Linked DNA regions of Mus musculus. The protein of the gene in region 2 interacts with the protein of the main gene of each other region in a biochemical or structural test. Links are inferred from orthologs where the notes say so. Each region holds a gene or a part of one and is shown on either strand. Other genes may lie near its edges. The genes, in order: Htt, Prpf40a, U2af2 and Mecp2.

Region 1 (7,466 bases), on a different chromosome or scaffold from region 2:
GGTCTGGCTATCCACCAGGAGGGCAGGGGTACTTCATTTTCCTGAAGTGAGCAAAACTCAAGTGTTGATGAAGATCTTTTTGTTTTTGTTTTTGTAGACAGGGTTTCTCTGTATAGCCCTGGCTGTCCTGGAACTCACATTGTAGACCAGGCTGGCCTCAAACTCAGAAATCCCTCCCAAGTGATGGGATTAAAGGTGTGTGCCACCATGCCCGGCGTTGATGAAGACCTTAAGGGCAATATCACCGTAGTCCTAGAGAGGACTGCTGAGGTAGATTCAGGGAGTTGAAGCAATAACATCCATGCTGCCATCAAATGCTTGAGTTACTGGGCAAAGACCTAAACATGGTGGGGCACCTACCAGGCCCTTCCTGCCAAAGGTTCATTATCTTGTACAGAGAACAGACCCTGTGCCATGTCCTAGAAGGGATAGTGGCATGCACTGGGCTCTATAAGACTCCCAAGAGTTATCCTGGCACTAACGTCAGGGTCTGGTGGGTTGAAGGATCAGGTAGACAACTCCTGCCTCACAACTGAAACTTGACAGGCCTTTAGAAAGTGTTCCCCAAACAGCCTTGTTCCTGCAGGTTGGTGGATGAAGTACCTGCATTTCAGGTTTAGCCCAGATACTAAAGAAGGGACCTGGTAAGACAGGCAATGTCATAGACAACCTAAAAGAAGTTGTAACCTACAAAGGACAGGGTAGGTGTTGCAGACACAGCAGGACAAAGGTGGTAAGACCAGTCATGTTGAAGGGCAGAAGAGGATCCATGTGGATCAGGAGCATGTCCAGAAAGGCAGAAGGGCTGGTGGAGAGCATGCAAAGACTCCAAGGACTACTAACTGTGTCCTGTGTGAGGACAGAGCCTCACCACCCCTCTAGAACCCTGGAGCAATGTGTGGAAGCTGAAACAATACCTAGGATCTCACACGACAGGCTTAAAATGCCAATAACTATGAGAACTTGGCACACCATATCTCCCAGACAGGGAGACCACTTCAATAGGGTCTGCGAATACTCCTAGGCCTGGTCCCAATTCCAGGCACACAGTCTCATTCTATACCTAGTATTGCCTGATCTTTACAGTGTCAAGATGGCTGCTGGTAGTATCCTTGCCCCACTGGAGATAAGCAGGATGCTCTCCTCAAATGCTAGAAAGGAGGTTTTATAAGTAAAGCAAGCCTCAAACAGCAACAACAGGTGGTTTAATCGCTTCTTTAATTCAACTGTACAATATCTGCAATTTAAAAATTTTAAATATACATTTCATGTCAGTCCTTCCTTTTGGAAATGGACAGCCAGGTCTAGGCTGGGCTCCGGGGCACACCCATCACAGCCCTCCTAGTTCCCAGTGAAGCCCATGGCATACAGCAGCAAGGCTTGGACAGGAGCCCCCTAGAATGCAGCCAAATCTCTGCAGATAGGTCTCTGCCACCTATTATCTTACACCCAGCTTGCGGCAGAGGGTGTTTCCAGAGACACTTGAGGGGAGCAGTTCCTTCGATGGCTCTAGAGTGTGACAAGCACACATGGAGGGTGGCCCTGAACCTTGATATCATCTTTAGTTGTCACACTGCTCAGCATTGGTTCTTCTTTCCTGGAGGCTCCAGACCCACTGAGGAACAATTCTTTTCCCAACCATGATATCCTGAGCCCACACCCAGCATCAGCAGCTCAGTGTCTTCGACTCCCACATACCAATCCCTGGAGGACAGCTTCATGCCTGTCCTGGTAGCAGCCATGATCCTAGTGCTCAATGCTGAGGGAGGGAGGGAGGGACGGAGGGAGGGAGGGAGGGAGGGAGGGAAGGAGGGAGGGAAGGAGACTGTGTGGGGAAGGATGCTCACAGGTGGCAAGGAGACCAATTCTGCAGCCCCACAATGGGAGGCAAGACTCCTTGTGACGTGGCTGTGAGACAAGCTATTGCTGTATAAAACCTGTCCCATGAGCCGGAAGCAGAGCTGCTTCACTCACTCACGGGAAGGTACTTCCTGCCAGGGAAGGCACCTGTTAGGATTGGTCCCTTCCCTGGCACTGCATTCTACAGGGCAGGAGGTGGTTCCACTCCAGTTCTTCCCTCCTGAAGGGTACATGTGCAGACAAAATGAGAGAACCATAAAGGGCACTTGGCAGTGGCTAAGTCACCTACATGTCAAGGGGGCCATCAGTGGGAGGGAGGGAGGCACATTTTGGAGAAGAAACATGCTGAAGTGCATTGCCAAAAGTTCTACCCTGGTTTTATTAAAATCTTTCCTGACAGTACCACCATGGAAACAGAAACAACATCCCACCTCCTACCCCTAAAACCTCATAGTCAAAATAACTTTTGTTTTTAAATAAAGCTTGGAAATCTTTAGATTTTTGAGGAATTTGATAAAAAGTTTTAGTCCCTCCTGCAGTTAGACAGGTGGGGCAATGTCTCCAGTGAGACTTTAATGAGCTATGGACTTTTAAAAATTGAGTCCCATTCTCAGATGCTAGACTCACAAAGCTGACTGTATGTGGCAGTTGCAAGAAAAGTCTGCTTTCAGAAAAAACAGGCAGGCATTTTTAGAGGCCTTGCATATGTCTTTGAGGATTGTGTGTGTGTTTATGTGTGTACACAAATACATACCTGCCTGTACCCAGGTGCATCTCTAGGTTGTGGCACCCATGAGCAGACAACAACTTTGTGGCAGAGGCTGTCCTTGCCCCATACTAAGAATTGTTTCTGATCACACTAAACAAGAGGCCAACTAAACTTGAGGTTGAGCTCACTGATATAATCCCCTGGTGAATGGCTCTAGATTTTATATTGAGTTTCCTTATGAACATCTACCATGAGGAGTAATCAGGCCTGCACCATGCTCATCTCAGAGCGGTTGGACCAACCTCAGAGTGTGGCAGCAGCACTGTAAGAACTTTCACATGGTCCCCGAGCACTTCTAGGCGGGAAATTGAGGGTGACAAGAAGAAGCCCTAAATCAGCAAAGGGGCATTGGTGAATTTCTTTCATTAAAATTCAGTAGCTTCCCTTAACGTCCTCTTGAAAGACCTAATCCATGTCCACTGTTCCTGTTACCACGCCTTGGGGTGGTTTTTGCCAGGGCAGATAGGAGGAGAGTCAGGCCAAGTGTGAGGCTCCCCACAACCTGTGTTTGGTAGGGAACCTTGCATCCCAGCAGCAAGGCTACTTGTCATGATGGAAAGATAGAGGGAAATTCAAGGGTCTCAAGAAAGCAATCCATGGACTGAAGCACAGTTAGTTAATCACAGGCTGCAAGCTCTTTCCTCCTGTGTAGCCTAGAAACATCTCCAAACTATTCCACTCCCCTACTCTACAGCTGAGAAATACAGATATGACTTAGCGGAACAGCAGAAAATCTGCTTGGTCATATAGTCAAACAGCAAACAGAGTTCCCAAACCAAGCCAGGAAATGAAGGTAGCTCATTTTCATTAACATGACCTGGTTACTCTGGGCTTGGGCTTTGGGAAGAGGTGGCTCTGACCAGCATGGGAAGCTGTCTGAGGCCAGAGGCTGACCTGATTTTGAACCTTCCCTTTGGTGCCTCATCTTGTCAGCTGAGTCCTCCCTGGGCTCTGACAGGCATAGGTCTGTACTCTACTGGGCTGACAGAAGGCAAGATGGGAAGGGGCAAAAGAGGCTCTGGGTCCATTCTTAACTGTTGCTAGGACACCAAGCTTTCCCTTGACTATGAGAAACTGAGACAAACCAACAAACCATAGCTCAGAGACACCTTTGGGGTAATCAGGTCAGCACTTCTCAGGTCCCAACCATGCAGAAGATACAAAGGGACAGACAGCATCCACAATGGTCAGCTGGTGTGTGGGCAGGCTACAGTGCAGGTCAGCCACAACCAGGGATGAGGTTATTGGGATAGCCACTTTGGGTCCAGCAGATGCTGTTTCTACCCAGGCTGAGAGACTAGGAGAGTGCATCAACACCAGGGAGGAGATAGCTTGACAGTCATGCCTGGGAAGGGGAGAGGAGGGCAGCTGCCACAGGGCAAGCCTCTTATAACTCTAACAGTGGAAGTCAGTTTTTCAGTTCCTCAGTTAGGCCACAGGCAGGATTCTCACACAGGCAGTCAATACCAACACCTCTCTCTGTGCTGGCTTAATGGAATGCATAAGAAAAGGGAGCTGTATGAAGTGCAAGTGCCACAGGGTGTTGGGAGGGCTACAGGAGGGACCTGCCCGACTAGACTGAGTAGCTACAGGAGAGGGAGTGGCGGCCAGAAGGCCCCTCCACTTCCATAAACTTTGTCACATGCAGCACAGGCCTTGCCAAGTCACACACTTTACACGGGCATAGGAAAAGTTACATTAAAATTAATCTCTTTACTGATATAATTAAATTTTAACTCCTGAGAAGAAAACACAGAAAGGAAAATGGTGCTGGACACCTGGCAGCCCCAGTTCCCAGCCCCACACACCATTCATTTTGTGTCCAGACACTGGTGTGGCAGGTATGCCTACTGGGTAAATGTGGGAGGGAGCTCTCCAGCCCAGTGGAGCAGGCGGGCTCAGAACCATCTGGCAAGAGCTAGGACTTCTGATCCACATACCAGGGCAGCTGCAACCTGGCGACTATGGCCAGGGGAACACTAGGAAAAAGACAAACACCTGGTCAACCTAGCACTGTCACCAGCTGCAGCGAGGCCAGGACCCAGGACTCAGGCTCAACCCCAACATAGTGCATGTTCCCTGCATAGCCCTCATTGCAAAGCACTCCTGCCATTGCCTGGCTGTCCACTTGACACAAGTGGAAGCCTGCACGGCCAAGGCAGCCCCAGCAGAAGCTTGGAGCAGGCTCCTGGAGGCTCAGGCCCCAGCAGCTGCCTTCTTTCAGCCTTTTGTCCCACAGGCACTACTCAGCAGGTGGTGACCTTGTGAACATTTTGCAAACAAGCAAGCAGCCTGTGGTATGGACTTCCTGGTGCAGCCACCACCTCAAACACAGACTGGAAAGCCCTGCGGTCGAATTCCTCCTCTATCTGGTGTCTGTAGAAGTCTGTGGCAACCAGGCAGAAAAGGTTCACATCCACCTGTTCCAGTTTGCCCATCCTGCTGATGACATGTGGAAGGCTGGTAGAAGAGTTAAGGAGGAACGATGGCAAGGGTGGAAAGACAGCCTCCCCAAGCGGTTCCCCTCCTAAGTCCACCAAGAGGCCCAGGGAAGACTGAGGGCAACCAAAATAGAGGGCAGCCTAGACCACATTAACAGCAGCAGCTGCCTGTAATCCTTTCTCAGCTGCAGCTTGCTGTCTGCCCAGGAGGACAGGGGTGGGTAGGCAGAGAGGCCCAGGAAGTGGGAGTCATGCAGTGCAGACAGGATGCTGGTTCCCAGTGCTCTGCACAACAGCACTTACCTGGGCTGTGCTCCCCACACAGTGCTAGTGGCTGGTGTTCCTGCTCAAACTGCTCCAGTGCAGGGAGGGCAGAGCTAGCTAGCACCCTGCCTGCAAGGCTTTCCCAGTACTTAGGGTGAGGCTGTACTGTCACCACCAAGACAGCTTTGCTGCTAGTAACTCTTGTGGTCTACTGAGAAGGAGGCTGCCAAGAGGAACTCCTGGCATCACTGTTAGGGCGGGAACTGCAGCTTTACTTACGGCTTTCCCCAGGAGGGTGACCACAGCGTAAAGATGAGAGCTAATGAGAAGCAGCATTGAGAAAACCTCAGAGGGACAGATTATGCCAGATGATGGGGCAGCCGCAGGGCCAGTGGCTGGCTGGCCTGAGCTGCCCTGCCTCCCTTTGGACTTCCCTTTCCCTCAGCAGTAAAACTGCCATAAACCCTGGCTGGCAAATGGTTAGACCTTCTGTTTCGTGTCCCTGTCAACATTTTAGGGAAGGGTAAGCATCACCTGTGGGGTTCTTGTTTTTTTGAGACAGGGTTTCTCTGTGTAGCCCTGGCTGTCCTGGAACTCACTCTGTAGACCAGGCTGGCCTGGAACTCAGAAGTCCTCCTGCCTCTGCCTCCCAAGTGCTGGGATTAAAGGCGTGCGCCACCACCACCCACCTGTGAGGTTCTTTAGAGTTTAGGTTTGAAAACATTCAGTGAAACCTGAACTGGATGCTAAGTGAACAAGGAACCTGGCCAAAGTCCCATGGAAGGAAGGATACATCGCAGAAACCCATGGGCTGGTAGATGCGCTAACAAGGAAGCAGGAGAGGCTCCACATGGCCATGGCAACTGGAGTTCTTTGTGTGAAGTTGGACAGGGACAGCATGACCCAGTCCCGGACCATGGATGACTGCCCAGCACTGTGCAGAGTCTGAAAAACCTAGGGACAAGAGAGCCCTGAGCACAGGGTCAGACTGTGGGGTGGGGTGAGGGGACTGGGGCCACAGCTGCCACTCATCTTAAAGGATGAGTCTAGCCCTGATGACAGGCCTACGGCAAGTGTGGGATTGGCTCCCCCTTCCTCCTCCTGCTCTGTCCTTACCCCACAAGGCAAGTACACCCTCACCTTGTAAACTACAGTGGCCATGAACTGTGGGTATGGCTGCTGATTGGACAGGAACTCTCCAATGACTTTGTTCATGACATCTTGAGGTGGAAAGAAGTCATCTAGGAACTGAGGCAGGATCCTTGCCACAACCCTGGCTTCACAGGGAAATCCCTTGCGGATCCTGAAATGAGAGGAGCTGATTTGAGCCTCACCCTGGCTCTTGGCCTCTCAACCTTGCCCATAGAGCCATCATGGACTAAGGCTCAGAGGTCCTTGACCCACAGGAATGTTCCAAGTGGGGCTCAGACCACAACTAGGGTATGAGTTTTAAAAGCCAAAGATGATATCCAGGCTGTTCTTTTGCTGCCCTGATTGATCTGGGCACAAGGTGATCTTTCCCACTCTGGGGAGAATAATGCAGTTGTGGGACAGCCTTGTAAAGGAATAGCAGCAAAAGGGTGGGGTGGTGATATTACTGAAGAGACTCTCCACATCAAAATGTACCAAAACTTTTCACTGTTGTATGTCCTAATACCCAGAGTACTACTGTCAATCAGCAACTTTTCTTCCCTTCAAAATTGGACACCCATCTATGCTCCTGTTGATTCTTCTCTCAACATCCAACACTTTACCCTTACCTCAGCAGCATCCTTAAAGACCGCTGACCTATGATTATTCCACTAATGCCACACAACTGTGGTATACAGCTGAGAAGTACACAAGTGACTCAGACCCTTAGCCATGCCTCCTTCCTGTGGATATGGCCTGAGCCCCACCACAGCACTTGGCTATACTCCAGGAGTATCTATTTCCTCAGCAGTGGCCTATGGGATCCACCAGGGCAGTGGTTTGGTTGTACACCTGCATGGGTCCAGTTGTCTCTGAGTCTGGTTTGCAGGTGGTGCTCTGTGAATATGCATGCACTGGAAAAATGGCTGCAAAGATACATTTTAGAGTTCAAGAGAATGAACAAATACACACAGAAGAACTGCTCTGGCTGTGGCTCTAGG
Region 2 (7,466 bases):
AAAGATACATCTGCCTTTGTCAAACTGAAGATGTAGAAACATGATCTACTGGATTTAAGAGTCAGAAATTTAGGACTGCCCCATCACCTGTGCCTTCATACTACGTCTAGCAACTACAATGTGTCTGATGGTATAATCAAAACAAGACAATAGAGTAGACTGGATTTACATGTTTTATAGCAAGGATATTACATTTCCAGGTACCTAAAGTCAAAATTCAACACACTGATATAAAACTTCTATTTAAATCAATTTGGTTCTGTTATGATATTGATCTGTTCACAGTAACATTTACAAGAAAAGAGGCAGAGGCAGGGGGATCTCTGAGTTTGGGGCCTGTTGGCCTACAGAGTTCCAAGACAGCTGCTGCTACACAAAAGCCCTATCTCCAAAAAACCAAAACCAAAACAACAACAAAAAAACTGTTTTAGTCAAGAGAATCACTTTATGTCTTTTGCTGTGTCTGATTTGCATAGGTTCATTGCAGGGATAGTTTAATTGATCATGTTTTATAAGACTCTGAAGATGTGAAGAAATTATAAGAAGCACAGAAATCTATTTTGAGGACATGCTAAAACATCAATAGCTTTTTATTCAAATATATCAAAAATTTAATGTTGTACTTTAAAAATCATTATTCATGGAATTAAAACATATTTTACAGATTCTAATTTCTCTTATGAAATACTACTGGTTTGTTTCCAAAAATAAGCATGATTTAAAGACTATCTCTGACCTCCGTGTCAAGTACTGGGACTCATTAGCAATCTTGACTATTGCTAAATGAGGACCCCTGAAAATTAAACTCAAGGAGATTCTGTTGCAAGTTGTTAGGTATTTTGAATAACATACAACTGGGGGGGGGGAGTGGGGGAGGGGAGGAGGAACTAATCTCAAGCAAGCAATTTGATCATATAACGTTTTCTCTAAGAGAATGCTCTTTTCCACAAAGTATGTCTTATATCTCAACAGAAAATGGACATGGCGATGAGAAGGTTAGAAATAAAGTACCTCCCTTGTGAGGTTTTAAAACCCTGGCCAGTATTTAATCAAAAACCTGGGCAGGATGGAAAAAGGGCTGTACTGATCTGTCCTAACTCATTTAAAGGGCAATGAAATAATTTATATTCTATTTAAATCTCAACTTGAAAGAGATAATCTCAGCATGTCCAAATTATAAGAACAAAGAGAATACTAAAGAACAACTGCTAATCTTTACATAAGAATTAACAAACAAAATCTCCTGCACTGAAGGAAATTGTATAAATCACATTACTAACCTTCAAGAGTTAGCAGGTAAAGAGAATTGTAACTTTAAGCCACTGCCTTTCTAAAATAGTCATTGCCTTTCTAAAATATTCCATAGGAAATTTATAGGTGAAAACACATTTAAGAACCTCAAATGCACTGATTTACGATGTTCATAAATATTAAAAAAAAGTACTGTAGCTACCATGGGTACGATGAAACAAAATTTCAGGGATTTATTATCTTGAAAATGATCATACAATTTCCTTAGAGCTGAGCAGCTTATGTAGAAATAAAGACTAGTGCACACTACAAGAGAAGTTTAATAATAGATAAAAATGTACAAAAATATTGAAATCAGAAATGCTTTAGAATGTGTACCATGAAGTCAATACTTCTCAGTAAGGAAGGTAATTTACAACCTCCTCAGTGGAATTAAAAAAAAAGTGTAAGAGAAAGGTTGGATTAAAAATTAAAAGAAAATGTTTAAGTCAACATTGATTTCCCACCCCTGACAAGGATATTTCAACTATTACTCAAAAGTTTGGTGGCACATTCTTTAGTAGGTCCTTAAGGCAATATATTTCAACTAATTTACAATTTGACTTGATGTTAGCTATTTTAAAACATCACCTCAAAATAGATGCTCAAAATAATGCCCTCATAAGCCTTTTTAAAATGTTCAGATGTTTCATAAAAAATAATGGTGGCTTTTTTACAGCAGTGCTCGTTAGCACCACTGCTGTTAAAGGTCTACCAAGGCTCCATCAAAAACACCTGTTTCTTAAGAGCTCACCACAGAAGATCACATTGGCTTTAACCAGTTCAGTAGTGCACAAAAAAGCAGTCTTCTCATAGGTTGCTGGTGCTTTTTTTGTACTACATTATCAAAAATTTTCATTGTATCTTCAAAATCCAACTTCTATAAAGGAAATCAAATCACCTCATGACTTAGAACAAAGTAGAGACGTCTGCAGCTATCATGAAATTGCCACTTTTAATCCATCCTGTAGTGCCCTGTGAAAGGGTCACAGAAAGACAGTTATTACCATAGGAAAATATGATTCTTGATACAGAATCAAGTTATTTTCAATTCCTTTGCTTTTATAAAGTCCACAATAACAATACATAAATGCACTTTTTCCTGTGACACAATTAAAACCCAGTGTTATGTAAATTGGACTTAAAATAATCCCTGGTCTGAATTAGACTTTAAATCATACTATAAACATATATTTGGTATAATTTATTGATCATCATCCAGTTGCTCCAAAAGGGTTCTTCTGCGCTTTTCCAATTCCCCTTCACTCAGTTCACTGCCAGAAGTATCCCAGTTACCCTGCAAAGACATTCAACACAATTACAATTAAAGTTAATCCTGAAAACTGACACTGTAAAAAGATTCTAAAGTAGATGTGGAATTCAGTCACACAAAAACATCTCACGAGGTTTTAAAACTGATACTTTGCTCCAAAGCCCAACCGTTGGTTATTAAACATTCCTTGGATGTTATTAGAGGAAAAAAAAATGCTAAGATAGGGATTCTTATATAGAGCTACTTCAGTTCATATTAAATATGTAAACAAGGAAAATGATACATACTAATTCCTTTTGTTTCACACAATTAAATATTAATAGTTCCCACTTAATGAAAGCCACACATCCACTTCCAAAGCAGTATGGTTTTTGCTAATTTTATAAATTTTAGGTAATCCTGTAAAGCAATGTTAAGTTTTAGACTTAACTTAGACTCTAAATGGTCTCTGACCTATGCTCATGAACACAGACAAGACTTAAAGTCTATGAGAAACAACCTCACGAAGTGGAGTGGTCCTCTGAGGTGTTTTGTTTAAACCACTGCTACAGAGGAGACAAGCATAGAGAGGGACTCACTCTTCATGGAGGTCGTGAATCAGAGAAAACCTGTCTCAAAACCAGAACAAAACCCCAATAATTTGAAAATCAAGGTGTCAGTGCCCAATGTACTTCTCAGTGGTACTGTAAAATTCAAACATTATCTTTTCATTCCAAGTTAAATGACAACTATTTTGTACTGTTAATTTGCTGTTAAAATTTTTTAAGGAATATAAATGTAAGAGAATCAACCGGATAGTCATTTATGAAGTGGTACCAGACATTTCTTTCTTTTTTTTTTTTTTTGGTTTTTCGAGACAGTTTCTCTTTATAGCTCTGACTGTCCTGGAGCTCACTTTGTAGACCAGGCTGGCCTCGAACTCAGAAATCCACCTGCCTCTGCCTCCCAAGTGCTGGGATTAAAGACGTGAGCCACCACGCCCGGCTCAGACATTTCTTTTTATTTCATCCCAAGAAGCATTTCCTCCTAAATCAGGTAAGGAAATGAATGGTACCAGAAAGCTATTTTGTGATAAGCAGTGAAGAGAATTTATTCTTTTCTTCAATGTTAGCAGATCAAGAAAAAAAAATCCTATAAACACCATCAAAGATTTAATGAGGGAATGAACTGTTGTTTTTTGGGAATTCAGGAAAGAAACACTTTTCAGTACTTACAGAATCCTTTCCAGTCTTTTTCTTAGGTGATTTGTGTTTTGATTCTGATCTCTGTCTACTTCTGTCTTTTTCACTGTCCCGATCTTTTTCTTTTTTATCCTTTTCTCGTTCAGTATCTGATTCTGGAGAGTCCTATGTACAAAACACCGAACATATCAGAATTTTGATAAGCATACCATTCTTTTACAGATTATTTATGCAGATGTTTAATAATATCACACTTATAGGTTAGGTGTAAGAATGTAGTGAGTTGACCCCAGGAATTGTTGTTGTTAAGATGCTGAGACAGGGTTTCTCTGTGCATTTCTGACTGCTGTGGAGCTTGCTCTGAAAGCAGCCTGGCCTCAAACTCAGAGATCTGCCTGTCTCTGCCTCACAAATGCTGAGACTAAAGGTGTGCGCCATCATCCCCCACTCTGATCCCCAAAACTAGAGTTTCTCCAGTGTTCAACGCAGGAAGAACAACATCTGGATATGTTAAAACACTATTAAGAGCCTCAGCACCAGGTTATATCTATTGTGTAAGTATAGAGCGATATTACTTACTTATTTAGAACCCAGGGCCCCACATACATGCTAAACACACACCCTTAATGAGCTATATAGAGCCTTAGTTCCTGCACATTTTTCATCAAGCATATCTCTGGTTTACTTAGATCTGTATAAGGATACTGCTGACTAAGCTGTTCATTTAATCCATGGAACAAGGTTGAAAAATCACAGAGAAAACAAGTTATTTAAAATGTTAGTGCTTAAATAAGTAGTTCTGGGTTAGATAGCTAAAACTCCTAGGAAGCAGCATAGAAACCAAGACAACCGATCTAGTTCAGGGCATCTGTGCTAAAACTCAGACACCACTGATGAAAAACCCCTATGCCAACCTAATATGCATCTACAGCATTGGAAGAGAAACTGATCAAGCATTTTTATTTTTTCTGTCTCTTTTAAAATTTAAAAGACCAGGTTAGGAACCCTAGTACTTGTGAATGTTCCTATTTGAAGTTCCGAGTGATCACAATGGAAGACTAAGGGGAAGCACACTTAAAGGTTCTGGTTTTATTCCCAAGGTAAATGAGCACAGATTTAGATTATGAGAAGGCCGAAGAATCCTTTCCAAAGCAAAGCCTTGGAACTGTTAAAAACTAGAAACTTTCTTACAGATTTATGCCTCCTCTTTTTGCTTTTCTTCTTATGCTTTTTTGACTTCTTGTAACTTCTCTCTGTGGAGCATAGAAAGAAAAAGAAAATGTCAAAATCTGAAGAAATCAAAGTGTCAAGGTTGACTCAAGAAGAGAGAAGTGCTCACCAGACTCAGCACTGGACGAACGCTCTGAAGCAGAATGAGACTCTGATCGCTGCCTTTTTTTCTTTGAATGGCTGTCGTCATCATCTGACTCTGATCCCTAAACAATACACATACAGACATTCACAAGCATGTTCACAAATGTTTTGGTCTACTGTGCCAGCCAACACACTTCTTACCGATCGAGAGCGGGAGCGTTTCCTATGGTGCTTTTTAGATTTCTTAGAATGTTTCTTGTTCTTTGAATGATGATGCTGACATTCATGCTAGAGTAGTAAAAGACAAACTTTAAGAACTGCACTTGCTTTGTATAGGCAAGAACAAGAAAATGGTACAAGCTTACCATGTGAGATCTTCAAAAAGTCCTAAGCAAGATACATTAGAATAAGATGTCCAGTGATTACATGAGAAATCACTATTTTTATTCTTATTAGGTATTCATATATTATATATTCATTTATGTATCTGAAAAAATTTTAATTCATTTATGTATCTGAAAAATTTTTACAAAATATTAATGAAGTAGTTTTTATCAAAATGACAAGAGCATTGGTAGGGAAAAGTCTTAAAAGGTGTAACTTTCAATAATTATTAAAAAAATTATTCAGGCATAATTTTGTCATCTAATCTGACTAGGTTTGGTTAGTAAGCTAGGCCAAGCACTGAGATAAAAAACCTAACAGGCATCTTTCAACTGGGATACACAAGATCTATTCCTTTTTATTTTGTCCCAAGAAGCATTTCCTCCGAATTCACACAGGGAACACTTATTTAACTACAGGTTGTGCCCTTAACACTTAGTAAACAATTCATTGTGGGTGGGTGGTGCTGGTGGAGTATGGGAACAGTTATGAAAGAGTACGTAAAGACCCAAGCTCTACCCCTGGCAATCATAAGGCAGAGAGAGAAAAACCTCCTGGATTTATCTTCTGACTTCCATATGAATTGTGACTTACACAGATGTACACACAACTGTAAAATATTCATAAGGCTACTTGGAAGGGAGAAGTGCTGCAGGAAATGCTCCTTGTTCTAATGTTTATATCCCTGGCTCAGATAACACACATTTGGTCTAAAAAGTAGAAATGGAAAACCTGGCTAAGAATGAAGTCCTTTCTGCCTCAATGAACGGTGCCTCAAGACCTTATTAATCAGGTTTCACAATCTGACTTGCTCACTCTTTTCCTATAGAATCATCTTTAGATTCATCTACCACTTCACTACATTACCTCTAGCTCAAATTACCAAAAGTACAAAGCTGGCTAGTCTCTGTATGTGTGTCTAAGTGGTGTGTGAATGAAGAGTGTGATGTGCACCCATGCAAAGGCCAGATGAAGAAATAAGCTATCTTCTCTAGCTTCTCAACCTTTCTCCCTGAGACACAGGCTCACTCTATTAGAAATTCCTTGTGTTGGCTAAGATGGCTGGCTGTTAAGCATAGAAGATTTCCCCGTATCCACCCCTGCCTGGTGGGTACTCAGACTGTCTTTTATGCTTGCACAAAAGCGCTCTTTACTCAATGAACCATCTCTTCATTGCTTGGGGATTCTTGATTACAAAAAGGTAGCTCATACATTCCTTAGGATACAGCATCTCAAAGTTCCAAATACATTCAAATGCTTTGGAATATGGGTATAACCAAGCTTGTTTGTTTGTTTGTTTGTTTTAAATTTACATCTTAATCAAACCTTCCACTCCCTCCTCCCCTACTCCCTCGCTCTTACTCCCCCATTCTCTTCCTGTCCTCCCTCTCTCCTCAGAAAAGGGGAGGCCTCCCATAGTTATCAGGCACATCAAGCTGCAGTAGAATTAGGCCCATCTTTTCCTATTCTGGCTAGGCAGTCTCTGGATGGTTCATTCTTTCTTCTTAGCTCCAAACTTTGTCTCTGTAACTCCTTCCATAGGTATTTTGTTCCCTATTCTAAGAAGGAATGAAGTATCCACATGGTGGTTTTCCTTCTTCTTGATTTTCTTGTGTTTTGCAAATTGTATCTTGGGTATTCTAAGTTTCTGGGCTAACACCCACTTATCAGTGAGTGTATATCAAGTGACTTCTTTTGTGATTGAGTTACCTCATTCAGGATGATATCCTCCATTTTGTACTTTGTACATGTTTGTGGAATCCATAAGTTTATACTCTCCACGTTATAGTGAGGTAGAGTTTATCTTACTGGAACCCAGAAAAACTGTTATTGTAGCTAGCCTTACCACTCTTCACAGATCATATTTCTAACCTCCCTGAGTGCTAGGATTATATGTAGCCTACCATATCCTCCCTGCATTTATGTATGCTAGAGCATATGAACATCAGTCCTTACAATTGCAGACCAAGGATTTTGCCCATTCAATCATTTCCTTAGCTCATGTTAAACTTTTTGAAAGCACT
Region 3 (7,466 bases), on a different chromosome or scaffold from region 2:
ATCTCAAATGAAAATCAATACACTCTCTCCCCCCGACAAAGAGTTAGCCGCTCAAGAGGCCAGTCTGTGCATTCAGAGATCCTGTATTTATTTACTCAATCCCCATTTAAGGCAGGCTTCCATTAAGGTGCCAGCCTGAATCAGAAAGAGTGGCATATCAAATACAGGCAAAGAAGCAGTCAAGAGGCTTTTTTAGTCAGATAGTCTTCTTCCTTTTGACTACTGCACCAGACCTCTGCTGCATTCCCAAGATTCATTTGAAACCTGCCCAGCCTCCCCATGTCTGAGTTTCTATCAATCCTCACCCACTTGGGAGTTCCCATCTACCCAGCTAACTGCTTCCTAGCTGACTCTATTAGGATATCTAAGTAACCTCAGAGGCAGTAGGCCTAAAAATGGCTCCACCTCACCTGTCACTCCCATCTCCACAAACTCATCCATTTCTCATTGCCCATTATAGTCACCACATCACTATGGACACAGAGATATTCTGAATGTCACTGGGCAATTTCGCCACTTCAAGTTTTATGGGGCATACAACCTGTATGTTTTCACTAGATAATATCACCTTGACTAAACAGTTTTATCTCCCAGCACAAGACATACTTTAAAGCAGGCCACCATCTTTCTCTTATACTAATACAGGCAACCCCATGGATCACCTGACTCATGACTCGGCACTCTCCATACATTATCAAAGAGCTAGCATTACATCAGCTTCCTTCTATCTGTGAAGCTCCACTCCTCTACAAGAAAACCCTAGGCTTCTTCCTCAAGTTCATAAGGACCTCCATAATCCTCTTGCAAAATTGGCCTCTTCTCTCAAATCCTGCTCATGGTCCTTTCAGCCATAACAAGAGTTCCTAAAAACCAATGGCTGAACATCCTGGCCTCATCTCATTCATACTCCTGCAATGTAGCAATTAGCTCTACAGGGGCAAAAGCAAGTCCCTACATTGAATATACCCTAACCCCAACCACACACACAGCAATCCTACCTAAAGTCTCTGCTTCTGTCCATCTGCCTAGGACAGGCACCTATCTAAAACCAGAACTTGGGTCTATGGAAGTGGCTCAGGGATAAAGCACTTGCTTAGTTAGCTACAATAAGGCCATGAATTCTATCTTTAGTACCAGAAAGAAAAATAAAGGCATGTAGCAACTCTGATACCCACCCTTTCCTGCTACTGCCCAACACAGCACCCTAGCAAAGTGTCCCCCGCTGTTTGTGGGTAAGAGCTCTATTCACAGCCAAATCTTCTAATGGCAGAATAAGAACACCAGCAACCCCTCAGCAGCACCTTCCAAGGTGGACATGCAAAGCTTATCTAAACCTACCATAGTGTAGAGGTGGTAACTCAGGAGCCTCTGAAATCTAGACTACAAACATGTGATGCCTAGCTGTGTGTGGTTGTCACCTTTGTACCACACTCTAAAAAGAGGTTCAGAAGCCAGTGAAAGAAGAACACAGATGCAGCTTCAAGGCACGTAGATAGTAAGAAAACTATATGTAGTAACATCTTACCAACAAAAAAGGCAAAGCTAAGCTGGGTGTGGTGGTGCACTCCTTTAATCCCAGCACTTGGGAGGCAGAGGCAGGCGGATTTCTGAGTTCAAGACCGGCCTGGACTACACAATGAGTTCCAGGACAGCCAGGGCTACACAGAGAAACCCTATCTCGAAAAACCAAAAAAAAAAAAAAAAAAAAAAAGGCAAAAAGCTACTTGCTAAAGGATCCCACATAAGAAAGAGAAAAACTAAGTTTTGAACTTATATATATATATATATATATATATACACACATATATATATATATACACATATACACACACACACACACACACACACCATATAGATAGATAGACAGACAGAGACACACACATAGCATCAATATATAGAAATCAATTTCTCCACTATAGGCCCCAAGACCCCAGGAGACCTTGATCCTCTCAGGGTCCTCTGCGTCACCCTTGTTCAGAACTAGTCAGGTACTGAGAGAGACAGGGTGCTAAGGGATTTGTTCACAAAAGATAAAAGGGCACCCTGACCTTTCCACAGCCAGGCACCTCGACGCCGTCCACGGGGCGGGGAATTTCAATGGATTTGACCAACCCATACTTGCTGCACTCGTCTCGTACGTCCTCTACAATCTCCTCATACTCCTCATCGTCCAGCAGCTCCTCAGGCAGCACCATGTTCATGAGGCACAGGACCTCAGTTGGGTGACCGCCCATCTGCACCTGAGAGCTCATCAGGCCGGGCACTTGAAGGGTCACAGGTGTCTGATTGATGGTGCTCTGTGGGGTCAGGGAGAACAGATCTGTCACAAAATGGCTCAGACTAGCCTCCCTCCATTCAAGCCTGTGCCTCTTACACCCAACTAGTGGGACCATTCCTCTACTTAAGCACTTATGAACCCAGTGCCCAAATCCCCTCCCATGAAAACTGGGGCAGAACTCAAGAAAACCTACCCATCCAACCCTTCCCACCCCCAGGGTCCCTCTAGCCAATGGAAGATGACGTGCCGGGAGGCTCACCAGCGTGGCATTCTTGGCTCCCACACTCGCCCTCTGGACAAGCAGCTTCTTGTCCCCTAGCTGCATCCCATTCAGCCCCGCAATGGCCTATGGTCAGAGGACAAAGGGTGGAAAGGGTGCAGGAAAAGCAACAGGTCAGGAACCAAAGGACCAGGCATTGGTGGGGAAAGAATGAAAGGCAAAGGGCTTTTAAGATTGGAAAGAGGCAAAACCAAGGGAAAAGGAATGAGTCCCCACAAGGCTTTGCTTAAGACTAAACACCCTGCCCCACCCCACCCCACCCCACCCCACAGCCTGAGGAGAGGATACCTAAGGTTAGAAATAAGAGTAGGGTTAAGGGCAGATGGAATGAGCAGCTACTCAGACTCACCTGATCTGTGACGTTGATGTCCACGTACTCACAGAAGGCATAGCCCTTGGAGAGCCCTGTGGCACTATCCTTAACCAAGTTGAAGGCCTTGAGAGGCCCAAAGGATGTCAGCAGCTCTTTTACCTACAAAGGGCCAAAAATTCATCAGGGTTTGGTCAGGCTGACAAAGGTAGCTAGCAAAAGAGCAGAGGATTTACCTGGTCATCATTTAGGTAATTGGGCAAACCCCCGATGAACAGCTTGTGGGCAGAATCTGGGACTACAGTGGATACAACTCCTAAAGACAAAAATGTATAAAGACTTCAATTCCAATACAAAGTAATTTCCCAACATCCAGGAAGAAAGCTGTGACTGGTGACACACACTTGTCTTTTCAGCACTTGGGGAGGCTAAGGCAGAAGAATCAGTCTCTCAAAAAAAAAAAAAAAAAAATCTACCATGGATTCACAGGTCCTATCTACTTAAGATACCATGTAAAGGTGGGAGGAGGCCACACTAAATCCCCTTATTCTGACAAGTATACAAGCATAGGCCAGCCAACAACTGAACATGAAACATTCCCGAAGAACTGACAACCACCCACCAACATCTCATCCCATTCGGTTGTTCAGTCCTTTGCCCTGTATCCATAAGCCCCTGCAGGGGTGACCTGCATTCTGAGGTAATGTGACAAGGAGCTGAGAGGCTGCTCAGAGTCTCAGAACATGCCTCAGTGTTGACTGCCACTGTAGTGATGACTAATGGTCAACTCTTCGAAGCTGTGTTCAGGATCCATTAAAGCTCTAATATAACTACATGGTGCTATCACCTGAGGGAGTCTGCACCACTTCTCTACTCAACTCACATAGAAGTGACGGCCAGATGTTTCTTAGCACACCCCACAAGCTTCACCAATATTAGCATTTAATTCTTAGAGTCAGTATCAGGCCCCTGCATCAGTCTGGCTACTCTGTATGGCTACCCTTTTCAGCCCTGCATCAGTCTGGCTACTCTGTATGGCTACCCTTTTCAGCTCTCCCCCATGCTAAATGCAGTGGTCCATCCTAATGTACAAAAGCATCAAGATAATGACTCGACACACCCAGAACCTGAGTCACTGTGCCCCACCCATCTTCTAGGCTGGCTCTGCCCCACTATAACTCTTTAGCCCCAAAGAACTGCAAGCATCAATTCAGCTATTTCTAACTATTAGAAGTGCACCCCAGTAGTCAAGTTATCTAGACTGTGCAACAGACCTAAGTTACAGTGCAACTATGACAAGCAGAAGCATTAACAGCCAGGCCATATCCAGTACTGCCATAAGCCAGAGGACAACCACTTTAAAAATCTATCTGGGGCTGAAGAGCTGGCTCAGCAGTTAACAGTGCTTGCTGCTCTTCCAGGGGGCCCAGGTTCAGTTCCCCAGCACCCACAGGAGGACTCATAACCACTCCTAACTCCAGTTCCAGGGAATTCGTCACTCTCGTCTGATGTCCTTAGACACCAGGCATCCAAACAGTATATACTTATATGGAGGCAAAAGACTCATACCTTAGGTACAAAAGCCCTAGCTTAAAGCAAAAGAAGTAAAGTTCTAAGAGTAGGAAAAGGGTGACTTCAACAGAGCTTTTCTAAAGCAGCTCAGCAGGCTTGACTCTGCACCAGTCTCTGACAAGTAAGCAGCAAGGCAGCAGCTGGACCACAAGCCCAATCTGGTAATCACTGTGACTTATCACTTCTCTCTCAGAGGGAGAACAAGGTAGGACCCAAGCCAGTTGTCCTAACTTCAATTCTTTGCTGTCTACAGCTAGAGAAAAAGGGAGACCAACACACTACAAACAGGGCGCATACAGAAGCATTCTGCTACACTTAATCCAGGGATACAAGGTGCTAACACTGGTGACTAAGAACAACAACTTCACTTCCACAGAAATGAAGCGCAGCGTCCACTACAGGTGATGTCAGTGTAAGTTATCAGTCCATTCTCTCCCCAGGAAGAACATCAGCCTTCCAATTTACAAATCTTTTAACTCTATCATCAATACTTATTGGATTTCATCAAATGCTTTTCCTCTCTAGTTTATTTAGTGACCTTTGTTTTTCTCCTCTGGAAGTGGAAGTTGAAAAAACAAGACAGAATTCCACTTGTTGCTGCCTCCTCCAAAGTGGTAATTTTGTGCAGAAGCACAGGCAGACCTGGAGGGCCAGGTCTTCAGACAGGCACATCCCAAAGAGACACAACACAGGACTGATCTTCCTTCTATTGTTTAATGGAAGCAATGTAGAGACTCCCTGTGAAAGAGGCCCGTCACTTAACAGCATGGCCCAAAGCAACTATGCCTGTTATCTACATGTTCTCAGTAGAAAGTTTAACATGAAAGAGTACAGAGAAAAGCTGAGCTAGGACTCCTAGGCCAACCTGTGCAGCCCAGAAAACCTATGAATTTCGTGATCACGAACAATTATTATTATTCACCACTCCTGGCTTTCCTCCTCTGTAAAGTGACAATTCCATCCACGACATGTGATGTGGCACATGCTTGTGATCTCAATACTGGGGGCAGAAAATCAAGTTAAGAGGCCAGTCTAAGATACAGTTATACCATGTGTCAAAAAACTACAGCTAGGCCTGCTGGTACAAGCTTATAATCCAACTCTGCAGGAAGATCCAAAGTTCAAGGCCTCCCTGGGAAACACAGAGAAAGCCTGCCTCAAACTACTAGTAAAAAGGCTGAGAGTATCCCCATGTGGCGAACCACCTGCTTAGCATATGCAAGGCTCTAAGTTCAATTCCTAATACCACAATGAGACCAGTAATAAAAGTAATATAAAAGGAATGACACTGTGCCAAAATTTATTTGTAAAAACAAGCAGTGGGCCAGGCGTGGTGGCGCACACCTTTAATCCCAGCACTCGGGAGACATTTCTGAGCTCGAGGTCAGCCTGGTCTACAGATCGAGTTCCAGGACAGCAAGGGCTACACAGAGAAACCCTGTCTTGAAAAACAAACAACAACAACAAAAAACCAAGCAGTGGGTCACAACTGACTTCCAAGTCATAATTAGCTGAGTGAAGGCTAAAAGAAGATTCAGGAACAGGCAATACCTGGCATGCCACACTGTGTCAGTAAAACCAGCAGGTGGCTGTCTATTCATGGAATTAAAGAGCAATCCAAACAATGAATTTAGTGCCAAGAGATACAAAAAAAAGATGTTCTACAGCTTCACCTGAAAGTCAGTAAGCAAGCAGGACCTAGTGGCACAGGGCTATAATCCCAACTACCCATGCAGCTGGGGGAAGGAGGCCCCCAAGTTCCAGGCCTGTCTAGGCAAACTTAGTGAGACCCTACCTCAAAATGAGAACTTAAAAAGGGGCTTGGGATTCAGGTTAGACAGTAAGTGCTTTCCTGACAAGCACAAGGACTGGAGTTCAAGCCCCAGTACCACTGTGAATCTTCTCCAAGCAATACTTTCAAGAGCATGCTAGCTTTAGACTCAGGTATGTGACCAGAACTTGCAGTAAGAAAGCATTCGGTAGTCAGGCCCTAACCCCAAGTCCTACACTACCAGAAATGTGCTCCTTCCTCTATAGAGAAGGGGTGACTTGACCTGGTTCCAGTGGGCACCCTCTGATGCTGAGCATCTACTCGGAGGACCCCACATTCACTGCAATCAGCCTCAGACCTGGGCCTCACTGACTCAGCTGGACCCCAGCACCAGTGTTTCCTGAAGCTCAGCAGGGGTCATACAGCCTGCAAATCCCAGCTCATCCCGCCTGACCTGCCAAAGGAAAGGCCAGCAAACTACAGCTAAACACTGAAAGATTAGTGCAGAATTGGGGGGGGGGGGGGGGGATCACAAAAAATCCAAATTTCTAATGACCCCGTCTGTAGCTTAAACAGTAAAGATCTATCGTGACCTACCAATCAGAGGTTATACTATATACAATTATAGGAAACAGTACAGAACACATGCCAAAGACATGGAATCAGTGAACACTAACATGCTAGGGCCACACACCAGAACCATGCAAAGATCTGTTGATATGTACTTACAAATACATAGCATACACAACACATCAAGCCCTAAAATCCCAGGGCTAAGGGGACAAGGTAAAAACAATGCCCAGACTGCAAGTCCCACACTTTCCAGGACACCTCTGATCTGGACCTGGCTCTGACATTTACAAGCTAAGCTAAACTTTAAGATTGAAGATCACAGATCACCACCTCAAAGGCCCAGGACACCTGCCAAGCTAGAAGAACATCCACAGCGCACACACACTATCTCCAAAGCAACTCTAGCTGGACTAAGTACAGGAACCTGGGTTGAGGAAACAGTGACTCCCCATACCACCCACCCAACGAATTCCCACTCACCAGGCACATAAACAGAGGGGTTCTCTGACATGCCAGGCAATGGCTGATAGTCATGAGGCCTTCGAATCTTCAATGACTGGCCCTGGAAGATGATGCCATCAAATGCCATGGCCTGGGTCGTCTCATCCACTGACCGGAACTGAAGGAAGAGAAACAACAGAGCTAAGGGGTAGGTTGGGACTAGACCAGCCCCCAAGACTCT
Region 4 (7,927 bases), on a different chromosome or scaffold from region 2:
ACTACAGTGCACACCACAAGTGGTGACTTCTGCTTAAGTACTTCTTCCACCACACTATACAGGAAAAGTCAAGGATAGAATGTGTTCAAGAGTATATGCAACATCAAAACAAAACAACCAACTCCCCCCCCACCCCAAAAAAAACAAAAACCAACCAACCAAAAACCAAAACAAACAAACAAAAAACCCAAACACCCACACATCACCTCAAAAAGAACACAACCAAATCCAGAGGCAAAAGTCTCTCTTCTGCTTCCAGCAGTCAAAGCTGCAAGGAACTGCTCTAACATCACAAAGGGGTTTTCACCCTGAGATAAAAGACAAAACACCAGGAGATCCAAAGCCATCATCCAAACTATAAGTCCTTCTCTAACCAATTTCTGTAACCCTCTCAATTCAGTACATCTCAATGGCTGTAACACAGAGTTGATGATCCTTTTGACCTTTTTGTTACTGTTTTTCTTTAAAATTTTTGAGATTTTATTTATTTTTATTTTATGTGCATGAGCATTTGTCTGAATGTATGTCTGTGCACTACCCACATGTAGTGCCTGCTGAGGCTAGAAGATGGGTCCTGGGGACTGGAATTAGACCATTGTGAGCCTCTATGAAGGTAGTGGAAGATAAACAAGTGCTCTAAACAGCTGAGCGCTCTCCCTCCCCCCATTGTTGTTTTTGAGGCAGTCTCGTTATGTAGTTCAGGCTGTCCTCAAACTCAGTTCTTCCGGCTTCAGTCTCTCGTTTTTTTTTTTTTTTGTTTGTTTTTTTTTTGCACACATGTTCAAATAAGGCTGTTGCCACCAAGCTAACCATCGTTTCCTAGTTAAAGCCTTAGCTACCTAAATACCTAATTTTAGATACCTGGCTCTCCCAGCAATAACACTTTTATCTTTACACTAAAAGAAAAGCTTATACTATACAACTTAAGTCTATTATAGTCACTCATGGGGTTGAATCCAGAGGAAAGGCAACAGCAACCAAGTCCTTTGCAGCTGTATGCTATTTACCTAGACGATGCTTACAGTTCTCTTTTAAGGCTCAGCAAAACCTCTTCATTTCTATAATTTCCTTAAATCATAGAATTAAGTCATGGAACAGTTTGAAATCCCAAAGTTAATTGTTTTTTGGATATCAGCCTAATAAAAAAACTCAAACCAGTGCCTTGTTTATAAGAAGGCCTGCAAAGTCACAACTTCTCAAGACTAGTTTTACCTACCTGCAATTTTATTTATTTATTTTTTTGTAAGGATGGAACTGAAATCAGTGCCTTGAGCATGTGAAGCAAATGCTCTACACTACTGACTGAGCCCTATATCTTCAGCCCTTATTTCACTAGAAGCTGAACTCAGCTTTATTCTAAGCTCTTAAAAAAGTTTGAGATTTGATGAAAAAAAAAGTTAAAAATGAATTCAGTTAGGTGAAAATCCAACAAAAATATTCATACTAAAATACCCCCTGCTTTTAGGAAAAGATAAGCACACTTTTACTAAGGCTTGGCCAGTAACAAGAGTCCAGACATCCATAGTACCAGCTAGGTGAGCAGACATTCACATGCTAGCAGTGTCCAGGAAAAGGTCATATTTCCCCCTTTAACATGGGAGTAGGCTCGTCTGCCTTCTCTTGAGTCTTGCCACCATTCAGACATTCCACACACTATATTTCCCATAAAAGTGATTGAAATCAAACTTTCAAAGGAAAATGTTCCTTGGGAGAGAAAGGCAGAAGAGAGCTGTAGAAAGCAGAAGAGCACACACACACACCTTCTGTATAAACTAGCCCCAGAAGTAGGGAGCCACTGGACTCCCTGAAATGATGAGCAGGTGCAGCACTCTGATTGGACAACAGCGGAGTGATTAAAAATGGCTGTGATGGGCACTGAGGACAATGTCCTTCCCTTGGAAGAACAATAGTGTTTTCTACCCAACTAAAAAGATTGTTTCTGTTAGCCACATGGCTTGCTGCACAGATGTTACCAGAGCAGGTGATTAAAATGAGATATTCTGCCACACTTCCTGGAATTCTCTAGTCTAGGCTGCGCTTAAAAACACTGGCTACTAGAAATGTCATTGTCCATCAGTCTATGCTTCCCAGAAGTAGTTCACTGGTGGTAAACTGCTCTTAGCCAATTAAAACATTCCCCACCGAGTGACCTGTTTTTGTGGAACTCCCATCAGAGGGAGTGGGGAGCTCTGTCACTTTTGGCATCCCCTTCCTCCTAGTGGGCTGCCTTAATATGAGGGAAGGTGACTAGTCTTATTGAAACTTAATATGCCATGCTACATTGATATGCCTGGGAGGCCTGCCTTTTCTAAAGGGAAAAGGATGAGTGGATGGGGAAGGAGAAGGGAGGAGTGAGGGACTGAGAGGAGAGGAGGAAGTGGAAAATACAGTTGGGATGCAATATATGAGAATAATGAATAAAAAAAAAGATTCTCACTGACAATTACCTTTAGAAAAGATAACAGGTTCCAGGATATATCATTTACCATGCAAACAAACTAACACGTTTACCTCTGCTGCTCTTTATTTTAGGTTTAAAAAAAAAAAAAACTTCTCAGGAGTTCATGGGTGGAGTTGGGGCACTGGAACAAGGGTTTAGCTGATTTCTCCTTAAACTCCATAGCTTTGCCTCCCTATCCCCAATAGATTAGGCTTCATAGAAGCAGATCAGGTAGAGTGAACCACTCTATCTGGAAAATACACAGATTGCAAAAACATATCATAACCTTCCAAAATCTTTGTGGTCTATGTGTAGTCTTTGTGGTCATATGTACCTCAGGAGTCAAACAGCACAAAAAACAGAGTAGAAGGCTAAGGATGTGGAGTGATTGCCTAGCATGCATGAGGTCCTGGGTTTGACCACCAGTATAACAATAACAAAAAAAAAAAAGGAAAAAAATAATCCTTAGAGTACAATGGACAACATGATGCTTTCTTCTTCAGTGAAATAGTGACCTGTTACTGTAGCTTTAAAGTACTCAAGACACATTCTCATGGAAAGAAAATAGGCATATGTGATAGATCAATACTAGCAAGAAAGCCATACAGTTTCTTCAAATTCTTAGGACACACTAGCTTCAGATGTCACCAGGCACTTTGAAAGGAAACTGTGTTCTAGAAGTTGCTTACGATGTTTAAAGAGCTATGGGTACAACAAATAGATAACCAGAGGGGCACCTGAGGAAGCAAACCTGTTGTAAGAATATAAAAACAAAGTAAAGGTTCCAACTCTGAGCTCAGGCTCAGATGTACAAACCTTGGAATTTTTTGACAAGCAAGACTTGGGTGTGTTTGTGAAAGTGAATGCACTCTGTCGGCCATGTGTATTAACTCATTTTAGATCATTTGTACTTTTACAGTGTTTGGACTCTTTAAGGTTCTGACATATCCAGGTAAGAAAATAAAAGCAAGTGTTTCCTAGGCTTTCTGAGTATGACTTGAATTTGAAGTTAAAAACAAACGAAAAACCAAAAGTCTGTAAATATATTTTTCCAAATCCTTGGTGGAAACTCCCCAAGGACCTAACAATCCAAATTTTATCTTTTTATAGAGATTCGACATATTTCAAAGAACCTAAGATATCAGTTTAATCATGTTATTAATTGAAATTGCTGAGATTCACATAATTCCAACCACAAACCCAAAATTCTCCTCTACAGTAATAATTACCTATTAGTGAAATTTTACTACCCAGGCCCAAATTGGTTTCATTTATGTAGTATAACAAAATATCTAGAACTTGTCCTACAACATCTCAGTCACTTAGCACTATAAATTAGTCCATTCTGTTTCATGATCGTCATCAACCACCCTGTATTTGAGCCTACTGCCTCACTGTAATGATTCCAAACAGTGGAGTCAACATGCAAATGACTCAACAGAGCCCATTTGTGTTCCTGGAAAATTAACCAAGAGTACATATCTGCCTGACTATGAGTCAGGAATATCAAATTTGTGGTGGAGCCCATTTTTGTTTTGATCAACCTATACCCGAACATACAAGGAACCAGCATAGAGGTATCCCCTAACAAGCTTTGCCCTTCAGGGGTCCATACTGAACAATGTCATACCAGGGTCTCTCTTGTGAGAGGGAATCTTTTTTAGACTCCATGATGACTTTAAACCTTTAGTGCAAAACCTCAGAAACATTGCCACTGCCACATAAAAGTCACCTGTGTTTTATTTTCAGTGATTCAGCCATAACCAAACTAAAAAGAGAATGAACTTTCAAAGATAAGTGACAGGAGTCACAGCGATGCGATGATCTCGCCCCATTTGGTACTGGCGATCCTGAGCGCTCCAGGACGAAGAGAGCCCGTTACATACAACGTCCCATTCCACTTATGTAACTGGATGATCGCTGGCGAAGGGAGGGGAGGGAGGGTGGGAAGACGCTCATATTCCGAAGCCACAGCACAGCATCCCCAAAGAACCAGAGCACCCTGCGGGCATGGTCTCACGGAAGAGCTTCGAGTGCTGAGGAACGCACAGTCCCTTGCCCACGGTTCCTGATGAGAACTACAACCATCTCTTTATGATGAGTTGTGGGACCTAGGAACATAATGTCTAGTCCTTTTTGTGGGTGGACAATAACCCTCAACTTGTTCCTGCCAAGTGGGGAATGGAGCTGATGGACCGACTCGCTTGCAGTGGGGGCAAAAAGTCACGGAATGGGAGAGGAGGAGGAGGGAGCAAAACCCAGAGATGGGGGTAAGAGCTCAGGAGCCCTTGTGGCGCACTCTCCCAACGGGAGATGGACTGCGCACGCGCGCCAGTCTGTGTGTGTGAGGGGGGAGCAAGTAACGGGAGTGGGGGCGCGCGAGGGAGAAGGGGACAGCGCGATCCAGGGAGAGGCCGGGACCGCGGGCGCGCGACAGTGCCGAGGCCCAAAGCCCCAAGAAGGGCAGGAGCGCGCGCAGCCCCAACTGGCGAAGCCCAGACGACAAGGGCGCTTGCACAGCTGGGGCCTAGGATGCGCACAGATGGGGCGGGCAGCGGGAGGGCGTCATTCGAAGGTGGCTCCAGGGAGATCGCGCTGAGAACCGTCGCTCGCGATTGCGGGAGACGAGTGGAGAAAGCCACCACCGGCGGCAGAGGGAGGGGGAGGGTAGAGAGGAGGGACGCCATCCGCCAGCCGTGTCGCCCGACCCCGCGGGCCCCTCCCGCGCCACGTCCCGCCCCTACCCGCCCCCCAGCAAGGGTCCCCGCCCGCGGCCTTGGCGGTCCCACTCACAGTCTCTCCTCCTCGCCTCCTCCTCCTCCTCCGCTCGGCGCGGCGGCGGCGGCGGCGGTGGCGGCAGCGGCGGCCATTTTCCGGACGGGTTTTACCACAGCCCTCTCTCCGAGAGGAGGGAGCGCGCGCGCAACCGATGCCGGGACCCCGCACGGCAGACGTCGCGCCCCGCCCTCCCGACCAGCCTGTGTGCTGCTGCACCTGCGCGCCCGCGCCCCACCCCTTGCTCTTTGTCGAGATTACCCTTCATTGGTTGTGGAGCCCAGGCTGGGGCGGAGCCTTAGCGGTGACGCCCTCAATTGGCAGGAGTTCCTGTCTGTTTAGGCAGGGAAAAGAGGCGGACCCCATTCAGCTGCGGATTGGTGGAGTTCTACTGTCACTTGGAAAAAAGAGGCGGCTAGGGCACAGAGGGGCTGGTTTTGTGGGCAGCATTTGAATGTTGAGGATTAACTGGGCCCTTGTGGACTCTGGCGCTTAAGGAAGTCTAGGCTCTTGGCGCCTATTAGAGCCTCCCTGCTGAGTAGTTCACCATTGTGATAAGCATTTGACTTCACCAGCATTTCTTTATTATCATTTTCTGTAGAAGTAGCAAAGTTGCCTGTTGAGGAGCCTGGCGTTGTTCCAAGCCAAGGGACTTGTTTTAAAGGGTCTACTGATTGTATTATTACACTAAATTAGCAGATGTCGCACTCTTAAGGCTGACAGTAAAATCAACATATCAAACCTTGGTCTTTGCAGACGTTTATAATGGGCAGATGGTGTGTGCCAAGCCCATAAGAGATCGGTCTGTCATTGTTGAATCAGATGGTTTGATGGAAGTACGTATAAAAGGGAGTGAGGCCAGAGGGAGCATTGTCAAAGCAGCCTTACCCTGATACCAGTCAGCATCCAATGCTCTTTGTGCTAAACAAATGCTCAACAAGAGACTTTCTTTCTTTGTTTGTTTTTTAAACACTATGCAACAAGAGACTTTCTGATTCAAATTTGGCTCCCCTCTCTATTCATTTATTTGCTAGGCACTGTTTTAGTACTGAACAAGGAGACAAACTAGACTCCTGGTAAGGAAGAGTCATACTAAACATACAAGAAAGTAGAACTTAAAATTTTGCACAGAGATAAAGACTTTGAAATAGATAGGGCAAGGACAAAAGAAGTGCTATTATGATACCCTCTAGCTTTTGCCCTCATGTCGTCTCCCAATATGGGTAATTGGGGAAAACATTCTAGGCAAGTTTAAACACTCTAAGGAAGGACTATGCCTGCCTTACTAAGGAGGCCAGTGTGACTGGAGAGAGACCTAGGCCACCAAAAGAACTAGGAGATTATTTTGAGATGAGAAGCCCTTGATAAATATTTGAGTCACTAGCTGTCACCATAAAACCTATGTTGCCAGTGAAGAATGAAGAACTGGCTGGTCCAGAGGTCCTGGCAGCAGTTGAAGAAAGATAGATGATGAAGGCTTTAACCAGGACAGTAGCAGTTGAAATCTGATAAGTTGTGATAGTTAAGATTTATGTTAAAAATTGAGCCAAAAGTATTGGATATCAGATGGAAAGAAAGAAAAAAAATAAGGATGATGGCTGACTTTGGGACAGGATCACCTAAGTGAATATCTTACTACAGTGGGGGAAATCTAGAGGATTTCCCATATGGCCATTCTAAACCATTTGTAATTCTAGTCTCAGGGAATCCTGTGCCCTCTTCTGACCACAGTGAGCACCAGGCAAAACACTTATACACATAAAATACTAAGATAGAAATGTAAAAAACAAGTGGGTAAGAGTGGTAGTGTGTGTGTGTGTGTGTGTGTGTGTGTGTGTGTATGTTGGGGTGTGAGAATACAGGTATTTGCATATACAGAGAATAGGATCTGAACTTGGGTCCTCTGCAAGAGCAACAAGCCATCTCTCCAGCCACACCTTCAGGCTGAGTTTTATTCCACGAATGCAAGGATGGTTTAAAATTAGAAATCAATTATAATTTTAAGAACAGATCATGTGAGTATCCCAATACATGCAGGAAAAAGCATTTAATAAAATTCAATACCTACATATGATTTTAAAAACACCTTAAAGAACTATAATTAGAATGTCCTTAATCTGATCAAAATGTCTATAAAGCTGTAGAGGAAACATGATATTTAATTGAGAACAAAGCAAGAAACAGCAAGATCTACAGTGCAATATCATTCACAAAAATAAAGTACATCATTTTCCTACCTTGTGAAATTTTGGGAAGAAAATCTTAAGTTCCTTAAATTAGATAAAAGAGATTTAAATGACATATTTTATACTTGCACTAAAAAAAAAAAATAGAAAAAAAGGCATATTGTACCAAAAGTATTTTAGCAGTAGAATTAAAAGGAGCCATTTAAAAAATGAGAGTGTAGCATTTAAAAATAATATTCCTTTAAAATGGGGAGATAGAGTCTGAGGATAAAACGTAATGGTAGAGCACTTGCCTACCACTCATAAAGCCCTGGATTCAATCCCCAACATAAAAAGTGGGGCAATTACAACCAGGAAAGTATACTACATGTATATATCTCAACAAACTGAAGAATTTTAGCAATATGGAAAATAGAACACACACATCCACTCTATCCAAAAATCTGTGGGAGTGGTGGGACATTTTTTTTTAATTCCAAAATGACAAAGAAAAATGAGAAAGATGACACAGTTCAAAATACTGAAG

What was found.
Region 1: the proteins of Prpf40a (region 2) and Htt form a complex in vitro, tested with the Homo sapiens proteins (2 studies listed by BioGRID and IntAct, with this or other methods). The link is inferred for Mus musculus from reciprocal best matches to the Homo sapiens genes PRPF40A and HTT.
Region 3: the proteins of Prpf40a (region 2) and U2af2 form a complex in vitro, tested with the Homo sapiens proteins (2 studies listed by BioGRID). The link is inferred for Mus musculus from reciprocal best matches to the Homo sapiens genes PRPF40A and U2AF2.
Region 4: the proteins of Prpf40a (region 2) and Mecp2 form a complex in vitro, tested with the Homo sapiens proteins (2 studies listed by BioGRID, with this or other methods). The link is inferred for Mus musculus from reciprocal best matches to the Homo sapiens genes PRPF40A and MECP2.

The regions. Positions count from the first base shown.
Region 1 is NC_000071.6:34,906,255-34,913,720, reverse strand, and holds the end of Htt (huntingtin), read right to left. Parts: intron 6,638-7,466; coding exon 6,475-6,637; intron 6,289-6,474; coding exon 6,128-6,288; intron 5,090-6,127; coding exon 4,876-5,089; 3' UTR 1,187-4,875; downstream 1-1,186.
Region 2 is NC_000068.7:53,136,684-53,144,149, forward strand, and holds part of Prpf40a (pre-mRNA-processing factor 40 homolog A), read right to left. Parts: intron 5,347-7,466; coding exon 5,260-5,346; intron 5,181-5,259; coding exon 5,084-5,180; intron 4,998-5,083; coding exon 4,936-4,997; intron 3,910-4,935; coding exon 3,778-3,909; intron 2,588-3,777; coding exon 2,495-2,587; 3' UTR 1-2,494.
Region 3 is NC_000073.6:5,070,299-5,077,764, reverse strand, and holds part of U2af2 (splicing factor U2AF 65 kDa subunit), read right to left. Parts: intron 7,404-7,466; coding exon 7,265-7,403; intron 3,185-7,264; coding exon 3,105-3,184; intron 3,031-3,104; coding exon 2,908-3,030; intron 2,625-2,907; coding exon 2,538-2,624; coding exon of another isoform or gene 2,526-2,537; intron 2,298-2,525; coding exon 2,049-2,297; intron 1-2,048. UniProt on the Homo sapiens protein: Plays a role in pre-mRNA splicing and 3'-end processing. By recruiting PRPF19 and the PRP19C/Prp19 complex/NTC/Nineteen complex to the RNA polymerase II C-terminal domain (CTD), and thereby pre-mRNA, may couple transcription to splicing.
Region 4 is NC_000086.7:74,080,277-74,088,203, forward strand, and holds the start of Mecp2 (methyl-CpG-binding protein 2), read right to left. Parts: upstream 5,415-7,927; 5' UTR 5,311-5,414; coding exon of another isoform or gene 5,234-5,310; intron 309-5,233; exon of another isoform or gene 207-308; intron 1-206. UniProt on the Homo sapiens protein: Chromosomal protein that binds to methylated DNA. It can bind specifically to a single methyl-CpG pair. It is not influenced by sequences flanking the methyl-CpGs.